Saccharomyces cerevisiae S288C: one gene and its partners. Changing the gene in region 2 together with the main gene of any one other region gives a genetic interaction. Each region holds a gene or a part of one and is shown on either strand. Other genes may lie near its edges.

Region 1 (5,789 bases), on a different chromosome or scaffold from region 2:
GTTTTTATACTGCATATCCATATAGAATTGATGAAAATCTTCCATACTGTCGAAGAAGTTGTTCAATGGAGAACACAGGAGCTGAGGGAAACTAGATTTAGAGAAACTATTGGGTTCGTTCCCACAATGGGTTGCCTGCATTCGGGTCACGCTAGTTTGATCTCGCAGTCTGTGAAGGAAAACACCTATACTGTGGTCAGTATATTTGTAAATCCCTCCCAGTTTGCGCCAACGGAAGATCTAGATAACTATCCTCGAACTTTGCCAGACGACATCAAATTGCTTGAGTCGTTGAAGGTGGATGTTCTATTTGCTCCTAATGCACACGTGATGTATCCACAGGGAATTCCGCTCGACATAGAAGAGCAGAAAGGCCCTTTTGTTAGTGTTCTTGGATTGAGTGAAAAATTAGAGGGGAAGACGAGACCTAACTTCTTTAGGGGCGTGGCAACTGTCGTGACTAAACTATTCAATATCGTTATGGCGGATGTGGCTTATTTTGGGCAGAAGGACATTCAACAGTTCATTGTTTTACAGTGTATGGTGGACGAACTGTTTGTTAATACAAGGCTACAAATGATGCCTATTGTAAGAAACAATAATGGACTGGCTCTGAGTAGTAGAAACAAATATCTTTGTCCAGAGTCTTTAAAGATCTCTGAAAACCTTTACCGCGGGCTGAAAGCTGCGGAAAATGCTATTAGGAGACTAGCACCAGGGGGACGTCTCTCCAGATCAGAAATCATCGATACTGTGACTCAAATATGGGCACCCTACGTTGATTCCCACGATTTCAAAATCGACTATGTTTCCTTAGCAGATTTTAAGACTCTTGATGAACTCTCCGATGTTGAAAACACCAGCGAACAGCAGCCAATAGTCATTAGTTGTGCTGTATACGTGACTGACCGCGAAAAACCCGATACGGTCGTCAGACTAATAGATAACATCGTTATTTAAACTAGGTGATTGGGCCTTCCCGTGTCTGTGTTGCAGTATATACCACTCTTATACAGTATGCACGATATTCTTTTAAACCAACAACGGGATGATAGATTTCACGCTTGATGACTTTTTTTTTAGACGGCTGAAGGGACGACATCCCCATCGCTCAAAACACAAATATGGAAAGGACAAATCGTCTTTCACAGTTTGCATAGTAAAAGCAAAGTTTATACTACTTCAGCAAAGTTGAAGTTGTTTGGCACTTGTTTCGTGCTTTCTCAAATATCTTAGATCACCGTCTGTCTAGAGCATATATCTATTGTTTGACGCACCCCTTTTACAAAAAAAAAAAAAAGAAACAGATCTATTAAGTAATAAAAAAGTTATTTAGGAAATAAGGTGCAGTAAGCTTCCTGAGGCATAATCATTATACTTTTAAAATCTATATTTTTGGGTTATTGTTGAAATATTTTCTTACAAAGCCCATTTCTCGTTTTTGACAATTTTTCTTATCAGTTGTGACTTCTCTTATCGATAAGCAATATTGAAGTCCTAATCACAAAAGCAAAAAAAATCTGCCAGGAACAGTAAACATATGGTTTTGGAATACCAACAAAGGGAAGGTAAAGGATCCTCATCTAAAAGCATGCCACCTGATTCCTCGTCAACGACTATTCACACATGCTCTGAAGCACAAACTGGGGAAGACAAAGGCTTACTTGACCCTCATCTATCAGTATTGGAATTGTTGAGTAAGACAGGGCATTCGCCTTCGCCAATGGGACAGAACTTGGTTACGTCCATTGACATATCCGGCAACCACAATGTAAACGATAGTATATCAGGATCGTGGCAAGCCATTCAGCCTTTGGACTTGGGCGCTTCTTTCATCCCAGAAAGGTGCTCTTCTCAAACGACTAATGGAAGTATTCTATCATCTAGTGATACTTCTGAAGAAGAACAAGAGCTGCTTCAAGCGCCTGCTGCTGATATAATAAATATTATTAAACAAGGACAAGAAGGAGCAAATGTCGTTTCACCGTCTCATCCCTTTAAACAGTTACAGAAGATAATATCGCTGCCCTTGCCTGGTAAGGAAAAAACTCCTTTTAACGAGCAAGATGATGATGGTGATGAAGATGAGGCTTTTGAGGAAGATAGTGTGACGATAACAAAAAGCTTGACTTCTTCGACAAACTCTTTTGTTATGCCCAAACTATCACTAACACAAAAGAATCCAGTTTTTCGCCTTCTAATACTGGGAAGGACTGGTTCCAGCTTTTATCAATCAATACCAAAAGAATACCAATCTCTTTTTGAATTACCCAAATATCACGATTCCGCAACATTCCCGCAATATACGGGGATTGTCATAATTTTTCAGGAGCTGAGAGAGATGGTATCTCTGCTAAACAGGATCGTTCAATATTCTCAAGGCAAGCCTGTAATACCGATCTGCCAGCCTGGGCAAGTCATCCAAGTGAAAAACGTCCTGAAGTCATTCTTAAGGAATAAACTTGTTAAATTATTGTTTCCTCCAGTTGTTGTGACCAACAAAAGAGATTTGAAAAAAATGTTTCAAAGATTACAAGATTTATCCTTGGAATACGGAGAAGATGTGAATGAGGAAGATAATGATGACGAAGCTATACATACAAAGTCTCGGTCCTATTGTCGTAACAAAAAAGCCGAAAACTCAAAAAAGAAATCCCCTAAATCGAATAAAAAACCCAAGAGAAAGAAGCAGAAGTTCTTCACGAGCTGGTTCACTTGGGGCATTTCAATTACTATAGGAATTAGTTTTGGATGTTGTGTGACATACTTTGTCACTGCAGCATACGAACACCAAACAGTTAAGTCTTTAAGTTTGCGGCCCTCCATATTGGCCTCTTTACTTTCCTTAGATTCCTCTAGCGACACAATCAATACGCCCGCCACTGCATCTCCTTCTTCAACTGAGCAGTTTTTATGGTTTGATAAGGGTACGCTTCAGATAAACTTCCACTCCGATGGATTCATTATGAAAAGTCTTACCATAATCAAGGAGACTTGGGGCAAAATGAATACTTTTGTCTTGCATGCTCTTTCTAAACCTTTAAAATTTTTGGAGAACCTTAATAAAAGCTCTGAATTTTCCATTGATGAATCTAATCGGATTTTGGCACTGGGTTATATTCTATTGTAACCTTTTTCCAATATACACAAACATACACGTTCCTACTCACTTTTTTACTATCACTTCTGTTTCTCTCACTGCGTATCTATATTCCCCGTTTGGTTCCTTTCCTTAATTACATAGAAGCTTATCAAATATGAAAATTCTTTCATTATACAGGCAATTTTTTGTTTGGTTTCATAAATACATAAACAAACAGCTTATAAAATATTTCTTCTGTTAGCAAATTTAAGTTTCTTTATATATTCCTTACTTTCGCGTCTCAACACAAAAAAACAATTAAAAATCAACCATAGCGCATAGAGCGTATTCCGACGACTTCAAGGAAACTATCGCTGTAAATGTGAATGCATTTAGAAGTTACTATTATCGCCTTTGACATCATATTTGAAATATTCTACCTTCATGTACTTAAACGCCCAAATTACCCGATCTTTTTGCGCCGCGCGTTAATATTTCCTCTTCGCATTTTTTAGTGATTATTACTACATAAATTTGGGATTAATAGTTCATCGAAAACAGCACGAACAAAAGCCAACTCACTACATTTTAGCAGATTCCGTCCGGAGTTTTGATTCTGTCCTTGTTTGTTGTTTTCCATTTCCTACTACGAATTCTATAAAGACAGGTAACAGCAGTGGAGAAGATCTTATAGATCTATCATCCAATTATAATAAGCATAGAATTGAAATAAGAACACGTTGGGTATAATCTACTTTGTTTTGATTTAACAATACAAATGCGATTTGGCCTGCCATCAAAATTGGAACTCACTCCTCCGTTTAGGATAGGCATCCGAACTCAACTAACGGCACTAGTTAGTATAGTGGCTTTGGGCTCACTGATTATTCTGGCTGTAACGACAGGGGTCTATTTTACCTCGAACTATAAAAATTTAAGGTCCGATAGACTGTACATTGCCGCTCAGTTAAAGTCATCACAGATTGACCAAACTCTAAACTACTTATATTACCAGGCGTACTATTTGGCATCAAGAGACGCCCTGCAAAGCTCACTAACAAGTTACGTTGCAGGTAACAAGAGTGCAGATAATTGGGTAGATTCCTTGAGTGTGATTCAAAAATTTTTGAGCTCTTCAAACTTGTTTTATGTTGCTAAAGTTTACGATTCTTCATTTAATGCTGTTTTGAACGCTACGAATAATGGAACTGGTGATCTAATTCCAGAAGATGTTTTAGACAGTTTGTTCCCATTATCCACCGATACACCGCTACCTTCTTCACTGGAAACTATAGGTATATTGACGGATCCAGTACTAAATAGCACCGACTATTTGATGTCTATGTCTTTACCTATTTTTGCCAATCCTTCTATTATCTTGACTGATTCAAGGGTTTACGGATACATTACTATAATAATGTCGGCAGAGGGTCTGAAAAGTGTGTTCAACGATACAACTGCTTTAGAACATTCCACAATTGCCATTATTTCTGCAGTATATAATAGTCAAGGCAAAGCTTCAGGGTATCATTTTGTCTTTCCACCGTATGGATCACGATCAGACCTCCCGCAAAAAGTTTTTTCTATAAAAAATGATACATTCATTAGTAGCGCATTTAGAAACGGGAAGGGAGGGTCTTTGAAACAAACCAATATCCTTTCTACACGGAATACTGCTTTAGGCTATTCACCATGTTCGTTTAACCTAGTTAATTGGGTCGCGATAGTTTCACAGCCTGAGTCGGTTTTCCTTTCTCCAGCAACGAAACTAGCAAAAATCATCACCGGCACTGTCATCGCTATTGGTGTCTTTGTCATTTTGTTAACCCTTCCTCTAGCACACTGGGCAGTGCAACCAATTGTACGTCTACAAAAGGCAACTGAATTAATTACAGAGGGGAGAGGCCTTCGACCGAGCACCCCAAGAACGATAAGCAGAGCCAGTTCATTCAAAAGAGGATTTAGTTCTGGATTTGCTGTTCCTTCTTCGTTATTACAATTTAATACTGCTGAAGCTGGCAGCACCACAAGCGTAAGTGGCCATGGAGGCAGTGGCCATGGCAGTGGTGCAGCTTTTTCAGCAAATAGTAGCATGAAAAGCGCTATAAACCTTGGAAATGAGAAAATGTCACCTCCAGAGGAGGAGAACAAAATACCGAATAACCACACCGATGCTAAAATATCAATGGATGGCTCGCTAAATCACGATTTGCTTGGACCACATTCCTTGAGACATAATGACACTGACAGAAGTTCCAATAGATCTCACATTCTCACAACTTCTGCAAATTTAACTGAAGCTAGGCTACCAGATTATAGAAGACTATTTTCTGATGAACTTTCCGATTTAACAGAAACCTTCAATACTATGACAGACGCATTAGACCAACATTATGCTCTTCTAGAAGAAAGAGTTAGGGCGAGGACAAAACAACTCGAAGCTGCCAAGATTGAGGCAGAGGCCGCAAATGAAGCAAAAACCGTCTTTATTGCCAATATTTCGCACGAATTGAGAACGCCTTTAAATGGTATTCTGGGTATGACGGCTATTTCAATGGAAGAAACCGATGTTAACAAAATAAGAAATAGTTTAAAACTCATTTTTAGATCAGGTGAGCTTTTGCTTCATATTCTAACGGAATTGTTAACTTTTTCCAAAAACGTTCTTCAAAGAACGAAACTGGAGAAAAGAGATTTTTGCATTACC
Region 2 (10,030 bases):
TTTAGAGCTCTGCAATTTGAACCTTCAAGATTTGGTGGAGTCTAAGAATGTATCAGATGAAAACCTGAAATTACAGAAAGAGTATAATCCAATTTCGTTATTGAGACAAATAGCGTCCGGGGTAGCACATTTACATTCTTTAAAGATTATCCATCGAGATTTAAAGCCTCAAAATATTCTCGTTTCTACTTCGAGTAGGTTTACTGCCGATCAGCAAACAGGAGCAGAAAATCTTCGAATTTTGATATCAGACTTTGGTCTTTGCAAAAAACTAGACTCTGGTCAGTCTTCATTTAGAACAAATTTGAATAACCCTTCTGGCACAAGTGGTTGGAGGGCCCCAGAGCTGCTTGAAGAATCAAACAATTTGCAGTGCCAAGTCGAAACGGAACACTCTTCTAGTAGGCATACAGTAGTTTCATCTGATTCTTTTTATGATCCGTTCACCAAGAGGAGGCTAACAAGATCTATTGATATTTTTTCTATGGGATGTGTATTCTATTATATCCTATCCAAAGGGAAGCATCCATTTGGAGATAAATATTCACGTGAAAGCAATATCATAAGAGGAATATTCAGTCTTGATGAAATGAAATGTCTACATGATAGATCCTTAATTGCAGAAGCTACAGATCTGATCTCCCAAATGATTGATCACGATCCGTTAAAAAGACCTACTGCTATGAAAGTTCTAAGGCATCCGTTGTTTTGGCCAAAGTCGAAAAAATTGGAGTTCCTTTTAAAAGTTAGTGATAGGCTTGAAATTGAAAACAGAGACCCTCCAAGTGCCCTGTTAATGAAATTTGACGCCGGTTCTGACTTTGTAATACCCAGTGGAGATTGGACTGTCAAGTTTGATAAAACATTCATGGACAACCTTGAAAGGTACAGAAAATACCATTCATCAAAGTTAATGGATCTATTAAGAGCACTTAGGAATAAATATCATCATTTTATGGATTTACCTGAAGATATAGCAGAACTAATGGGGCCGGTACCCGATGGATTTTACGATTACTTCACCAAGCGTTTTCCAAACCTATTAATAGGTGTTTATATGATTGTCAAGGAAAATTTAAGTGACGATCAAATTTTACGTGAATTTTTGTATTCATAACATGTTCATGCCCCTCTGCTTCTTCTTGGTTGATTATTGCATTAATGTTACTTTGATCATTAGTAGTAACCATCCATAATTTTTACGCCCTTGCATAAATGAAAAAAAGTTGTACTTCTTCATGAACCTATACTACTTTTCTCATCCCTACATAAACTACCCGACAGACATTTAATTTTATAAATACATATCTCATAAACATCGAACATCGACATACTACTCCAGTTATTCAACACTGACTTTTTTGGTGGAAAGCTTTCGTTCTGCAATTCTTATGCAAATAAAGGTAAACACACATGCAAAAGCGTAGACTTCATCAAACCAAGAATCTATGACAATGTTTGGGACGGTAAACTTTCCACCCAATAGCTCCTTTAATCTTTGTGATACTTCAAAAGGGAGATGGGACCTAACCATTAGCGTTGTAGCCAAAACGTAGACGCCAGTCAACTCTGACACCACCAGATTTTTTATCAAAGATATTCCTTTTTGTTCCTGAGAATAGTTTCTCTTTTTTCCCTTATAGGAAGAGTTATTGGTGTACTCTGGAAGTACATTAGCAGTGTCATCATTCTGCATGGCGAAAAGTGCAAGAATCTGGAACTTTATGGGCAAAAGGGTCACAACGTAGGAGATGGTGGTATTGACAGCAGAAAGACAGCAAAGAAAGAGAGAAATTGACAAAAATAACGATATCTGTTTTGTTAACGAATCGAGATCGTGCTGGTAATTGAACCTGAAAAACGAAAAATCCAAAATATTTGCTATCGTAATGGCTAAAGGATCGGATGCTGCATTTTCACTAAAATTTTCATAATCGTAGTCATCTGGATATTTGAGCGAGTGGTATATGATATAGGGGATTCTTTTCAGGAAAGTTATTATTAGTTTATGAAGACAGTATATGATAAACCCGACTTCAAAAGCTTTCTTAAAAGTGCGTACCTGAGGGGACTGTTGTAATAATGCTTCCAATTTCCCAAGCTCCAGTTGATACCAGGCGATTTTTTCCATCAACTCTGCTTTAAAAGTTGAGTTTTCTCCGACCTCTTCTTCTAAACTTCTTAATATTTGTACATTTTGTTCAATGTTGTGTTCATAATCTTGGATTTTTTCCTCTATATAGGCGTCTGTTGTCCATAAGAGAGATTTACTGTTATTGTTGCTGTTGTTGATGTTTCTAAAACTGGGGTCTGACATTGGTGTATTACGAAACTTGTGCCAGATGACTAAAAAGTTGTAGTATAAACTAGAAACAGTGGCTAACCCAGATAGGGAAGCCATGACTGTGACGCCTCCGATGGACAATCTAGTTAGAATATTTTTTGTGTACTGGAACGGTCCAATATTTATGTAACTTAACAGCGCAATAAGTGTGGACAAGATTATGCATGTCACTATTATCAACCTATCGATATCGAACTTGTCATTGTAGAATTTATTCAGTAACGATATTATAATGAAAAAGGGCTGAAATAAAATTAGTATGAAGGATAGCATGATTGCAGTCAGAGGCCACACCCAAGTCGTTATGAAAGTAACTTCCTTGTCCATTCCAGCAACCTTAATCTGCCATAGAATAATCTCTATGGTTACTGTATACGTCATCATTGCTAATGAAAAAAGGACTCGCAGTGATTGCAGTACCTTATGTGAGGGTAAAGAATACTCTGTGTAGAATTTATTTATGAAATTACCCATACTAGACACATCCTCATTCGAGCCAACTTCCATTTTGCTTGCCAACGGAATGACATTTTTCTTCGAGGAAGTTGATATAATGTCAAACAAAGACCCTACTTTAAACCAGAGCCTTTCATAGGAGCATTTGTAAGCAAATGCTCCGGATACGGAAAGCACTATAAATACGATAAGTGCCTCCATCCCGTCCACCACTTAGTCTACACTCAATAGTCCTTTCTAGTGCAGGTCCTGGAGGCAACCGCCAGAGTTGAGATCTTTTCCTTTTCTTTCCCTGCTGGTCAATTTTTATTGTTCAGGACTCGGTCATCGCAGATATCGCAATTTTTCACTCGTTTGAGTCTAGACTGTAAAATAAAACCGAATGGTTAAGCTAAAATAGACTCTGTATGACTAAGTCGTTCACTAAAGTTCATTATTTCATGCCTGAATGACCTTTATCTTAATTATGCACCATCATATAGCGTTTCTATGATCACTACGGGATATTATGATATTGTTAGGGGGTTATATTGAATATTTCTTAGGGCATGAGGATGATATTAGGGTTATTAATAGGTTTACAATTATATAATTTATGTGATAATTATCACTTGATACGAATTGATGGAGCCTGCTTCTTTTTTTTTTTTTCACTTTCTTGGCAGTCACTGAAAAACTGCATTCGAATACAGGTTTGAGAAACTAATGAGGCCCATATTACTTTACAATGAACAGTAACAATCAACTTAAATGCTTAAATAATCTAATATTGTATCTGCATTGATAATACATTGGACAGAAATTATGGACGTATGTTTGATTTATCTTACTGTGGCCAGATCGGCCTTTCAGTACTTCTAAGGTTTTATACTAACTTCTTTTATTGATCGTTGTAAACTACGGTAACAATTATGTATCAACAGGATGGACGGAAAAAAGAATTGCATGATTTGAACACCCGAGCTTGGAATGGCGAAGAAGTCTTTCCCCTGAAAAGTAAAAAACTGGATTCCAGTATAAAGAGAAACACTGGCTTTATAAAAAAACTAAAGAAGGGTTTTGTGAAAGGTTCAGAATCTTCATTATTGAAAGATTTAAGTGAGGCGTCCTTGGAAAAGTACCTATCAGAGATAATAGTGACGGTAACAGAATGTCTGCTAAATGTTTTGAATAAAAATGATGACGTAATTGCCGCTGTTGAGATCATAAGTGGACTTCATCAAAGGTTCAATGGCCGATTTACTAGTCCGCTTTTAGGAGCTTTTTTACAAGCTTTTGAGAACCCCTCTGTTGACATTGAATCCGAAAGAGATGAGCTTCAAAGGATAACCAGAGTTAAAGGTAATCTTCGGGTATTTACCGAGCTTTATTTAGTTGGAGTTTTTAGAACATTGGATGATATTGAGTCGAAAGATGCTATTCCAAACTTCCTACAGAAGAAAACTGGGCGAAAGGATCCGTTGTTATTCAGTATTCTCAGAGAGATTCTTAATTATAAGTTCAAATTGGGCTTTACTACCACTATTGCGACCGCATTTATTAAGAAATTTGCACCTTTGTTTCGCGACGATGATAATTCTTGGGATGATTTAATATATGACTCGAAGTTAAAAGGTGCGTTACAGTCTCTGTTTAAGAATTTTATAGACGCCACTTTTGCGAGGGCCACAGAACTGCATAAGAAGGTCAATAAACTGCAAAGAGAACATCAGAAATGCCAAATAAGAACGGGAAAATTGAGAGATGAGTACGTAGAGGAGTACGACAAGTTACTTCCAATATTCATTAGGTTCAAGACATCTGCAATTACTTTGGGAGAATTTTTTAAGTTAGAAATTCCGGAGCTTGAAGGTGCCTCTAATGATGATCTGAAAGAAACAGCTTCTCCAATGATCACGAATCAGATATTGCCACCCAACCAACGATTATGGGAAAATGAAGATACAAGGAAATTTTATGAAATCTTACCAGATATCTCAAAAACAGTAGAAGAATCACAATCTTCTAAAACAGAAAAAGATTCAAACGTTAACTCAAAAAATATCAATCTATTCTTTACGGATTTGGAAATGGCAGATTGTAAAGATATAATCGATGACCTTTCAAATAGATATTGGTCATCATATTTGGACAACAAAGCCACAAGAAATCGAATATTGAAATTTTTCATGGAAACACAAGATTGGAGCAAACTGCCAGTGTATTCCAGATTTATTGCAACAAATAGCAAATATATGCCGGAAATTGTTTCTGAGTTTATTAACTACCTAGACAATGGCTTCAGGAGTCAATTACATTCTAATAAGATTAACGTTAAAAACATCATCTTCTTCAGTGAAATGATTAAATTTCAATTAATACCATCGTTTATGATTTTTCATAAGATTAGAACATTAATCATGTATATGCAAGTTCCAAATAACGTAGAAATTTTGACGGTTTTGTTGGAGCACTCAGGGAAATTTCTGCTAAATAAGCCAGAATATAAGGAATTAATGGAAAAAATGGTCCAACTAATCAAGGATAAAAAAAATGATAGGCAATTGAACATGAACATGAAAAGCGCCTTAGAAAACATAATTACTTTACTTTATCCCCCTTCTGTAAAATCATTAAATGTTACGGTAAAAACAATAACGCCTGAACAACAGTTTTATCGCATATTAATTAGAAGTGAACTAAGTAGCCTAGACTTCAAACACATTGTCAAGTTGGTTCGGAAAGCTCACTGGGACGATGTAGCTATTCAGAAAGTGCTGTTTTCTCTGTTTTCAAAACCACATAAGATTAGCTATCAAAATATTCCCTTATTAACAAAAGTTCTAGGCGGTCTATACAGTTACCGCCGCGATTTCGTCATCAGATGTATAGACCAAGTACTGGAAAACATTGAGCGAGGCTTAGAAATTAACGATTATGGACAAAACATGCATAGAATATCAAATGTCAGATACTTAACTGAAATATTCAACTTTGAAATGATAAAATCCGATGTTTTGTTAGATACTATCTACCACATTATTCGGTTTGGTCATATCAACAATCAACCCAATCCATTTTATTTAAACTACTCAGATCCACCGGATAATTATTTCAGGATTCAACTAGTCACTACAATTCTGTTAAATATCAACAGGACCCCTGCAGCTTTTACTAAGAAATGCAAACTTTTGCTGAGGTTTTTCGAGTATTATACTTTTATTAAAGAACAACCTTTACCCAAGGAAACAGAATTCAGAGTTTCAAGCACATTTAAAAAATATGAGAATATTTTCGGAAACACTAAATTTGAAAGGTCAGAAAATTTGGTAGAAAGTGCCTCAAGGTTGGAAAGTTTACTGAAATCATTAAACGCAATAAAAAGTAAAGACGACAGAGTGAAGGGATCTTCTGCAAGCATTCACAACGGTAAGGAGAGTGCTGTTCCTATCGAGTCAATCACCGAAGATGATGAGGATGAAGATGATGAAAACGACGATGGTGTCGATTTACTAGGAGAAGATGAAGACGCGGAGATAAGTACACCGAACACAGAGTCAGCGCCAGGAAAACATCAGGCAAAGCAAGACGAAAGTGAAGATGAAGACGATGAGGACGATGACGAGGATGATGACGATGACGATGACGATGATGATGATGATGGAGAAGAAGGCGATGAGGATGATGATGAAGATGATGATGATGAGGATGATGATGATGAAGAAGAAGAAGACAGCGACTCTGATTTGGAGTATGGTGGTGATCTTGACGCAGACAGAGATATTGAAATGAAACGAATGTATGAAGAGTACGAGAGAAAACTAAAGGATGAGGAAGAAAGGAAAGCGGAAGAAGAATTGGAAAGGCAATTTCAGAAAATGATGCAAGAATCCATAGACGCAAGGAAAAGCGAAAAGGTTGTTGCCAGTAAAATTCCAGTAATTTCGAAGCCAGTCAGCGTTCAAAAACCTTTATTATTAAAAAAGAGTGAAGAACCTTCTTCAAGCAAGGAGACCTACGAAGAGTTATCCAAGCCAAAGAAGATTGCATTTACGTTCTTGACTAAAAGCGGTAAGAAGACACAATCAAGAATTTTACAATTACCAACGGATGTGAAATTTGTCTCTGATGTCCTTGAAGAAGAAGAGAAACTAAAAACCGAGCGAAACAAGATTAAAAAGATTGTTTTAAAACGTTCTTTCGACTGAGATTCTTTTGCGAATATAGTTCTTTAAATTTTTACTATATATGCCCACTTATGTTTGGCTCTATTAAATGGCTACGTGTTTATATAGTACCGTTTATGACGCTGTATTTTTATTTACACTGCTTTCCAGGAGATTAAAGAGCGGAGTGTTAGTCAACTCTCACGACAACAACAGTTATATCGTCTTCTTTACCACCGCTGTAGTTTTTGCCAGTTAGCTTAGAAATCTCTTGCGCAAAAACACTGGGGTAATTGGGGTCCTTGCTTAAACTGACAACATTGTCCACAAACTTCTGGGATAATAGCTGTAACTCATCGTTTGTTCTCGCAGCGTTATCCTTCAGAAAAAGCTCAATATCATCTGTGGCAATATTATCGGTTACACCATCGGTAGCCAATATAATAATATCCTTTTTTTTCAATTGGAAGCTATATTCATCAGCGTCTCTGGGGGTGTTTAAAATATACTTGCTACCCCTTCTTTCGGCCTCTTTCAACATTTCTTCTGGAATGATTGACAATTGGTAAGGAGCATTAAATCCAACAGTTTGAAACTTTGTCTGGAATACAAGTTTAGAATCTCTGAAGACTCCACACCAAGAATCACCCAAGTTGGCAACTTCCAATTTTCCATTAGATGGGAAGTGAGCCACAATGGCTGTTGTCCCACCAACCTTCACTACTTTCTCATCCCTAATTTTTGCGTATGCAGCACCAATAATTTTCTTTGGCGTTAAAAGCGTTTCTTTGGATGAATTTTCTGCTAAAGCAGTGCTTATTTCGTCCATTTTTTTACACAATTCTCTTGAGATGGCGCTGGAGTCATACCCATGCTCAGCCCATCCTCCAACACCGTCTGCGACACCGGCAAAAATATCGTGAACGTTGTTTGATGTAACAAAATAGTTGTCTTCTCCTGTAGGTGATCTAATAGAATCCTTTAGTTTTTGGTATATCAGATCGTCTCTGTCTTTTGGTTGGAAAGCTACCGCGGTTTTATAGGTGAACGGGCCTGATTGGCTACCTGAACTATACGCATCACCATGACTGTTGTTCGATTGATACCCACTCTTGGCACTTGAGTAAAAAGTCCTCTTGGAAAAGCTGATGATTTGACTGCAGGATCCTATGATATGAGAAAAGTTAGTCTCTGAGTCGATTAGCATTTGTCCCGCAAATTTAGCAATTAGCACACCAATGAATAAAACAATAAACATACCATAAAGGGGACCTCTCGAGACCCTCAAAGTTCTAAATCCAACGTTTGCAAACATTTTTGGTGGCTTTGTCGTTTGTTTTCTGGACCGCTTTTATTGCATGTGTCTTTTACATTTGTTTACTGTCAAAATGAAGCTCGCGTGTAAATTTGTAGATTGATTACAGAAAGATGTAGCTGAAACCAGCCAAGAAAGAACAATTAGCACATCTCATTTTATAGAGCCTCAGTTTCTGTCGTACGACTGTTGCAAAATATGTAGGTGGAAGTGGATTTTTAAATTACGTTTAAAACGTAGATTGCGAGTCACTGAATGGCAGCAAGCTTATTAAAATGATTAATTTCTAATTTTATTGTGATATAGGCAACTTTGGATAGAGGAAACAATGAGCCGTAAGAGTGCTAGTTACTGTTTTCGCACCGCCGCAATCGTATAGGTGCGTTAATGGCAGTTTAAAAGCTAATACTGCTTACATGAATGTCAACGGCGCCAGCATGGTCAAATAACCGGCAATATGTCCTGCTTCAAAGTTAAATAGTTTGAAGTATTTAGTGCAAAAGTGCCATCTTCTTTCTGGGGAAAGTTTTAAAGATAACATCGTTATTGGTGTAATTTTGAACAACTGCATGATCATGAGTTTACTTGAGAAAGATGGCTTTATTTACTGAAAATCTGCTACTGAATAGAAAGCGCTCTTAAAATCAAAAGGAGAAGAGAACCAAGAAAAAAATTACGCAGATTGTGCCAATTCCAAGATGAGCTGATGCACGATATTTGCAGAAATTTATAAAATGGAAAGATCTGCAAAATATCACGAAGACATCAAAAAATACGATCTTTACACCCAAGGTATTACAGTCTTTGGGTAATGAAATTATCAGATTTGATGGAGGGCTTTTGTGATAATCCTTCTAATTCATAACAAGAACTTTATACGGTACACATGTGGAGAAACAATTTCCTTACTTAGATTTCTTAAAATGAAAGATTTAAAACACATAGAGGAAGCTCAATGGCCGACGCCAACTCAGGATGACAACGGTTTGTTTGTGAATTTGGATGTTTCAAACTCGGATCAAAAAATTCACAACATAATTGAACGGTTGGTCAGGAGAACGAAGAAGTTTTTACAAAGGCTCAAGTATAAGGAATGTCCTGCGCAACGTAATATATACCAGAAGGTCAATCCCAGCCTTGACGTAGTAATATGCCCTTAAACCTCCAGAAAATTCCCCCAATATAAAGTATTGCCGGGAAACAGCATATATACTTACAACAAATAGAATCGTTGGCACCGACATTGAAGTGGACTATGTTCCCCTATGAATTGTTCATAGTAATATTGTAGAAGACCCTATTGTTCTTGTAATTCGGGTAATATATTTGAAATTGTACAATATGCCTATTTAGGGATATCATTAACTGACTGCAGCGGTAATGATCAACTAATGCTCAACAAAGAGTCAAAAATACGGCAACAAACTGGTAGTAACGGTAGGACATTTTCAAATTTTCAATGTCTGACGATTTGAGAAGAAAAATTGCTTTATCCCAGTTTGAGAGAGCCAAGAATGTTCTAGATGCGACATTCCAAGAAGCATACGAGGATGATGAAAACGATGGTGATGCATTAGGTTCCCTGCCATCATTTAATGGACAATCAAATAGGAACAGAAAATATACGGGCAAAACCGGTAGTACTACTGATAGAATTTCAAGTAAGGAAAAGAGTAGTTTACCCACTTGGAGTGATTTTTTTGATAATAAGGAGTTGGTAAGTCTTCCTGATAGAGATCTGGACGTAAATACATACTATACATTACCTAC
Region 3 (5,553 bases), on a different chromosome or scaffold from region 2:
CATCCGTTTTACAAAATTATATTTTTGAAAACACTTCAATTGATGGTTCTGACCAGGGCATTTTAAACCAGTTCTTCAATCAAAATTGTTGCACTGATGAGCTAGTTAAAGACAGTTTCTCTCGAGAATGGGTACAGTTATCATTTACGTATAACGTAACTATTCCTAATTTAGGCTACCAATCTTCACCTGCTATGAATTACTTTAAACCTAGCATTAAGTTGATTCATTTCATTGGGAAACACAAGCCATGGTCATTGTGGTCCCAAAAGAATTTCATTAAAAACGAGTATCATGATCAATGGAATGAGGTATACGAGGAATTTAAGGAAGAACATCAATTAAATAACGAAGTTTCGAAGCCAAAGATTAGTGATTCCGATAAAACTGAGACTCCTGAAACGATAACCCCAGTGGATGCCCCTCCATCGAACGAACCCACTACGAATCAAGAGATCGACACAATTAGTACAGTGGAAGAAAACGTGGACAACCAGAACGCCGAGCCTGTTCCTAACTCGGATCATAGCCCTGCTCCTAACCCTGTCCCATTGGATTTTACCAAGTGGTTAACAACCTTTATTAACAAAGATCACTTGACTAATCAGCCAGTAAATGAAAGCAGAGAATATTCGAAAGAGAATGATAACAATATAATCAATAGCAGTTCAAACCGCGACCAAGAAAGTCCTCCAAATAGTACTCAGGAACTAAACAGCTCTTATAGCGTTGTGAGTACTCAAGCTGATAGCGATGAGCACCAAAATGCAGAAGAGGAGGATAGTACGACAGATAACGCTTCAAATTCTGGAGAAGAAAGCCACCTCGATGATATAAGCACGGCCGCTTCTTCCAATAACAATGTAAGTAATCAACCAGATGGCAAAAATTTTAGCAATTCTAAAGAAAATAATATCAGTGTCGAATCTAGCCCTTCAAATCCAGAACAGAAAAGGTCAACTGACAATATACAAAAACCAAGTGTTTCTACTAATGACTTACCAGACGACGTAGAACCACATACCTCTGTTGATGACAATATACAGTACTTAGAAAAAGACAAGGAAGGTTATGAAGAATTTCTTCCGGACGTGTACGAGTCAAATGCAATCGATAACGAAGAAGAATTTTTTGATGACGATGCAAGAGATGCTACCGAAGGAGAAACGAAGACGAGTGCAGTTGCAGATAAACAGGAGGATATGAAACTTACAGCAGAGGAAACCAACCAACCGCAACAAGAAATGCCCAACTTCAAATTTGACTGGGAGGACTCTGATTATCTATCCAAAGTAGAGAGGTGTTTCCCTGATGATATTTTTGAGTATGCAGTAGAGTAAACTTCCACGCACATATTAGGAAAATTAAAAGACATATCTATGTAAAGACCTTTTCGACTATACAAAAATGCATAACTATTCTATATACATTCAAACTCGAAATTTACTTTAAAGGTTTATCAGCAACAACATCCGATGCTTGCTGTTTATCTTTTCTCACCTCACAACGTTTATAGTGACTGAAAAATTTTTGCATTCTCACCTCGTCTATTGAATGATGTGCTAAGAACTTGAGCTAACATCACAGAACAAAGGTATGAATATACGCAGCCCTGACATTTGTAGATTTTTTATTTGGTCTCTAGTCTTTTCTTTTCTTATTTTATAACAAATTCGTTAAACGGCCTCCTTCTAATTATATACAAGATGTCTGAAGGTATTACTGATATTGAAGAATCCCAAATTCAAACCAACTATGACAAGGTTGTCTACAAGTTCGATGATATGGAATTGGACGAAAACTTGTTAAGAGGTGTTTTCGGTTACGGTTTCGAAGAACCATCTGCCATTCAACAACGTGCCATCATGCCTATTATTGAAGGTCACGATGTCTTGGCTCAAGCTCAATCTGGTACTGGTAAGACCGGTACCTTTTCCATTGCTGCTTTGCAAAGAATTGACACCTCTGTCAAGGCTCCTCAAGCTTTGATGTTGGCTCCAACTAGAGAATTGGCTTTGCAAATCCAAAAGGTTGTCATGGCTTTGGCTTTCCACATGGACATCAAGGTCCACGCTTGTATCGGTGGTACTTCCTTTGTTGAAGACGCTGAAGGTTTGAGAGATGCTCAAATCGTCGTTGGTACTCCAGGTCGTGTTTTTGACAACATCCAAAGACGTAGATTCAGAACTGACAAGATCAAGATGTTCATCTTAGATGAAGCTGATGAAATGTTGTCTTCTGGTTTCAAGGAACAAATCTACCAAATTTTCACCTTACTTCCACCAACCACTCAAGTTGTTCTATTGTCCGCCACCATGCCAAATGACGTCTTGGAAGTTACCACCAAATTTATGAGAAACCCAGTTAGAATTTTGGTTAAGAAGGATGAATTGACTTTGGAAGGTATCAAACAATTCTACGTTAATGTTGAAGAAGAAGAATACAAATACGAGTGTTTGACCGATTTATACGACTCTATCTCCGTTACTCAAGCTGTCATCTTCTGTAACACCAGAAGAAAGGTCGAAGAATTGACCACTAAGTTAAGAAACGACAAATTTACCGTTTCTGCCATCTACTCTGATTTACCACAACAAGAAAGAGACACCATCATGAAGGAATTCAGAAGTGGTTCTTCCAGAATTTTGATCTCCACTGATTTGTTGGCTAGAGGTATCGATGTCCAACAAGTTTCTTTGGTTATTAACTACGACTTACCAGCTAACAAAGAAAACTATATTCACAGAATCGGTAGAGGTGGTCGTTTCGGTAGAAAGGGTGTTGCCATCAACTTTGTTACTAACGAAGACGTTGGCGCTATGAGAGAACTAGAAAAGTTCTACTCCACTCAAATTGAAGAATTGCCATCCGACATCGCTACTTTGTTGAACTAAGGGAGACAAAAACTTCTTAAAAAAGTATCTTGTGAGGCTATCTTGATAACGTAACATATATTTCTAAAAAGTTATATATGCTTTTTGTATTTAATTTGTTTTTCTTTTTACATTCCTATTATTCTTCAAAGTCCAAAAGACTCTCGGCACGAAGGTTGAAATACCCTATACTAATTGTTTGCTTTGTCTTTTTGTATATATCCGAACGTATCTATCTGAAATTTTTCAAATTTATAAAAAATAATATATATAAAAGGAAAAAAAAAAAAATCGATGCCCTACTAATAGAGATTGGAGCTGAAAAGAAAAAGTGTACATCAAACGCTATATCTCGAGGTTTGGGATGGTTGAGTCAAATGATATTATAAAAAGTGGGCTGGCAGAGAAAGCACTAAAGGCTCTAATTTTACAATGTGAAGAGAACCCATCTTTAAAAAATGATAAGGACATACACATAATCATCAACACGGGCAAAAAAATGGGCATAAACAGGGACAACATCCCCCGTATTATTCCATTAACAAAGTACAAGCTATTTAAACCAAGGGACCTAAACATATTACTCATTACCAAGGATCCCTCTGCCTTGTATAGAGAAACTTTGACGAAAGACGAGCATACGTCGGAATTATTCAAGGAAATTATAAGTGTCAAGAACTTGAGACGTAGATTCAAAGGGAGTAAACTGACCCAACTTTATAAAGATTTTGACTTGGTCGTTGCCGATTACAGAGTTCACCACTTACTTCCGGAGGTTCTTGGTAGCAGATTTTATCACGGTAGTAAAAAATTGCCATACATGATCCGCATGTCGAAAGAAGTAAAATTGAAGCGTCAACAAATGGTCGAAAAATGTGACCCCATTTACGTGAGAGCACAATTGAGAAGTATATGTAAGAATACCTCATACATTCCCAATAATGACAACTGCTTAAGCGTCAGGGTCGGTTATATTCAAAAACACTCCATACCAGAAATTTTGCAAAACATCCAAGATACAATAAACTTTCTCACTGATAAAAGTAAGAGACCGCAAGGCGGCGTCATTAAAGGAGGAATAATATCTATATTTGTCAAGACCAGTAACAGTACTAGTTTGCCTATATATCAGTTTTCAGAGGCTAGAGAAAATCAGAAAAATGAAGATCTGAGTGATATTAAATTGTAAAATTAAAGCATCATCTTTTAAATACGGTATTTAAACACTCCCAATGAAAAAGCGTGATTTTGTCTAACTAATTATAGCATTAATAAAGTGTTTTAAACTTTAATTCCTTTCAAGAATTTGCAAGATTATAGAAATTTAGTAAGCGAAAAAAAAAAAGAAAAAAAAAAGAACAGACACCCTATAAAAATAGAATAAACATAATAAGCCACCATTTGCCTGTCTGATGATATTCTTGATTCTTTATATCTCTTCAGGTATGTGACACCTATACATGCAACGCTTTTTTTGCGTTTTTTCTATACAATAGTTGTTTATTTAAAAGCGTAGGAGCTTCATGCAAATCTGCAAGGTATTTCTTACACAGGTTAAAAAACTACTTTTTGTTAGTCTTCTATTTTGCTTGATAGCTCAAACATGTTGGCTTGCACTTGTACCATATCAGAGACAGCTGAGCCTAGATTCGTATTTTTTTAGAAGATCTCGAGAAGTTTCATCGAGATATGATTTTACAAGGAGGCGACATATGAATCAGACGCTGAAGCTATCTAGCAACACTTATAATGATGAACCACTAAACAAGACCAAGGGAATAAAAAATCAAAGAGAAAATGCTACATTGTTAATGCTTGTGCGTAATTGGGAACTTTCGGGGGCACTCCGTTCCATGAGATCACTAGAAGACCGTTTCAATAAAAACTACCAGTATGACTGGACATTTCTTAATGATGTCCCATTTGATCAAGAGTTCATCGAAGCCACCACAGCCATGGCTAGTGGTAGAACGCAATACGCTTTAATCCCTGCGGAGGACTGGAACAGGCCATCTTGGATCAACGAAACTCTATTTGAAGAGGCTTTACAATTAATGGAGGAAAAAAATATCTTGTACGGTGGGTCAAAGTCATATAGAAATATGTGCCGATTTAATTCTGGATTTTTCTTTAGACAAAAGATATTAGATCCGTACGATTTTTATTTCAGAGTTGAGCCAGATGTAGAGTATTTTTGCGATTTTCCCTACGATCCATTCAAGGTGATGAGGCAGAACAATAAGAAATATGGCTTTGTGATAACTATGTATGAATACGAAGATACAATTCCGAGCCTATGGGAAGCTGTAGAAGAATATCTCGAAGAAACAGAGTCAGCAGATATTGACATGGAAAGCAACGCTTTCGGGTTCGTATCAAATTTCGACTTCATCGGTAAATCTTTTGGTGTCATCGATAGTAACAGCGGCTATAATTTATGTCATTTTTGGACAAATTTTGAAATTGGCGATTTGAACTTTTTCAGAAGTGAGAAATACATTAGATTTTTCGAGTACTTGGATTCAAAGGGCGGTTTTTACTATGAAAGGTGGGGAGATGCACCAGTTCATTCGATTGCTGCCTCACTTCTTTTGAAAAAAGACGAAATCATCCATTTTGATGAATTAGGCTATAAGCATATGCCTTTTGGCACGTGTCCATCTGCATACTACCTGAGACT

The links. Genes that interact genetically often act in the same process or in processes that back each other up.
Region 1: mutations in NMD2 (region 2) and ATG32 together harm fitness more than expected from each alone (negative genetic interaction), as found in Saccharomyces cerevisiae (2 studies listed by BioGRID).
Region 3: mutations in NMD2 (region 2) and TIF1 together harm fitness more than expected from each alone (negative genetic interaction), as found in Saccharomyces cerevisiae (3 studies listed by BioGRID).

What each region holds. Positions count from the first base shown.
Region 1 is NC_001141.2:71,525-77,313, reverse strand, and holds ATG32 (mitophagy protein ATG32), read left to right. Parts: upstream 1-1,540; coding exon 1,541-3,130; downstream 3,131-5,789. Other genes in the region: pantoate--beta-alanine ligase PAN6, read left to right, coding at 31-960; SLN1 (histidine kinase), read left to right, coding at 3,861-5,789. UniProt on the Saccharomyces cerevisiae protein: Mitophagy-specific receptor that recruits the autophagic machinery to mitochondria and regulates selective degradation of mitochondria.
Region 2 is NC_001140.6:249,331-259,360, reverse strand, and holds NMD2 (Nmd2p), read left to right. Parts: upstream 1-3,604; coding exon 3,605-3,610; intron 3,611-3,723; coding exon 3,724-6,987; downstream 6,988-10,030. Other genes in the region: bifunctional endoribonuclease/protein kinase IRE1, read left to right, coding at 1-1,117; YHR078W (uncharacterized protein), read right to left, coding at 1,343-3,001; type 2C protein phosphatase PTC7, read right to left, coding at 7,136-8,112, 8,206-8,260; PPE1 (phosphoprotein phosphatase methylesterase 1), read left to right, coding at 9,720-10,030. UniProt on the Saccharomyces cerevisiae protein: Involved in nonsense-mediated decay of mRNAs containing premature stop codons. It interacts, via its C-terminus, with NAM7/UPF1.
Region 3 is NC_001143.9:553,281-558,833, forward strand, and holds TIF1 (translation initiation factor eIF4A), read left to right. Parts: upstream 1-1,706; coding exon 1,707-2,894; downstream 2,895-5,553. Other genes in the region: glycogenin glucosyltransferase GLG1, read left to right, coding at 1-1,340; UTP30 (Utp30p), read left to right, coding at 3,238-4,062; mannosyltransferase KTR2, read left to right, coding at 4,397-5,553.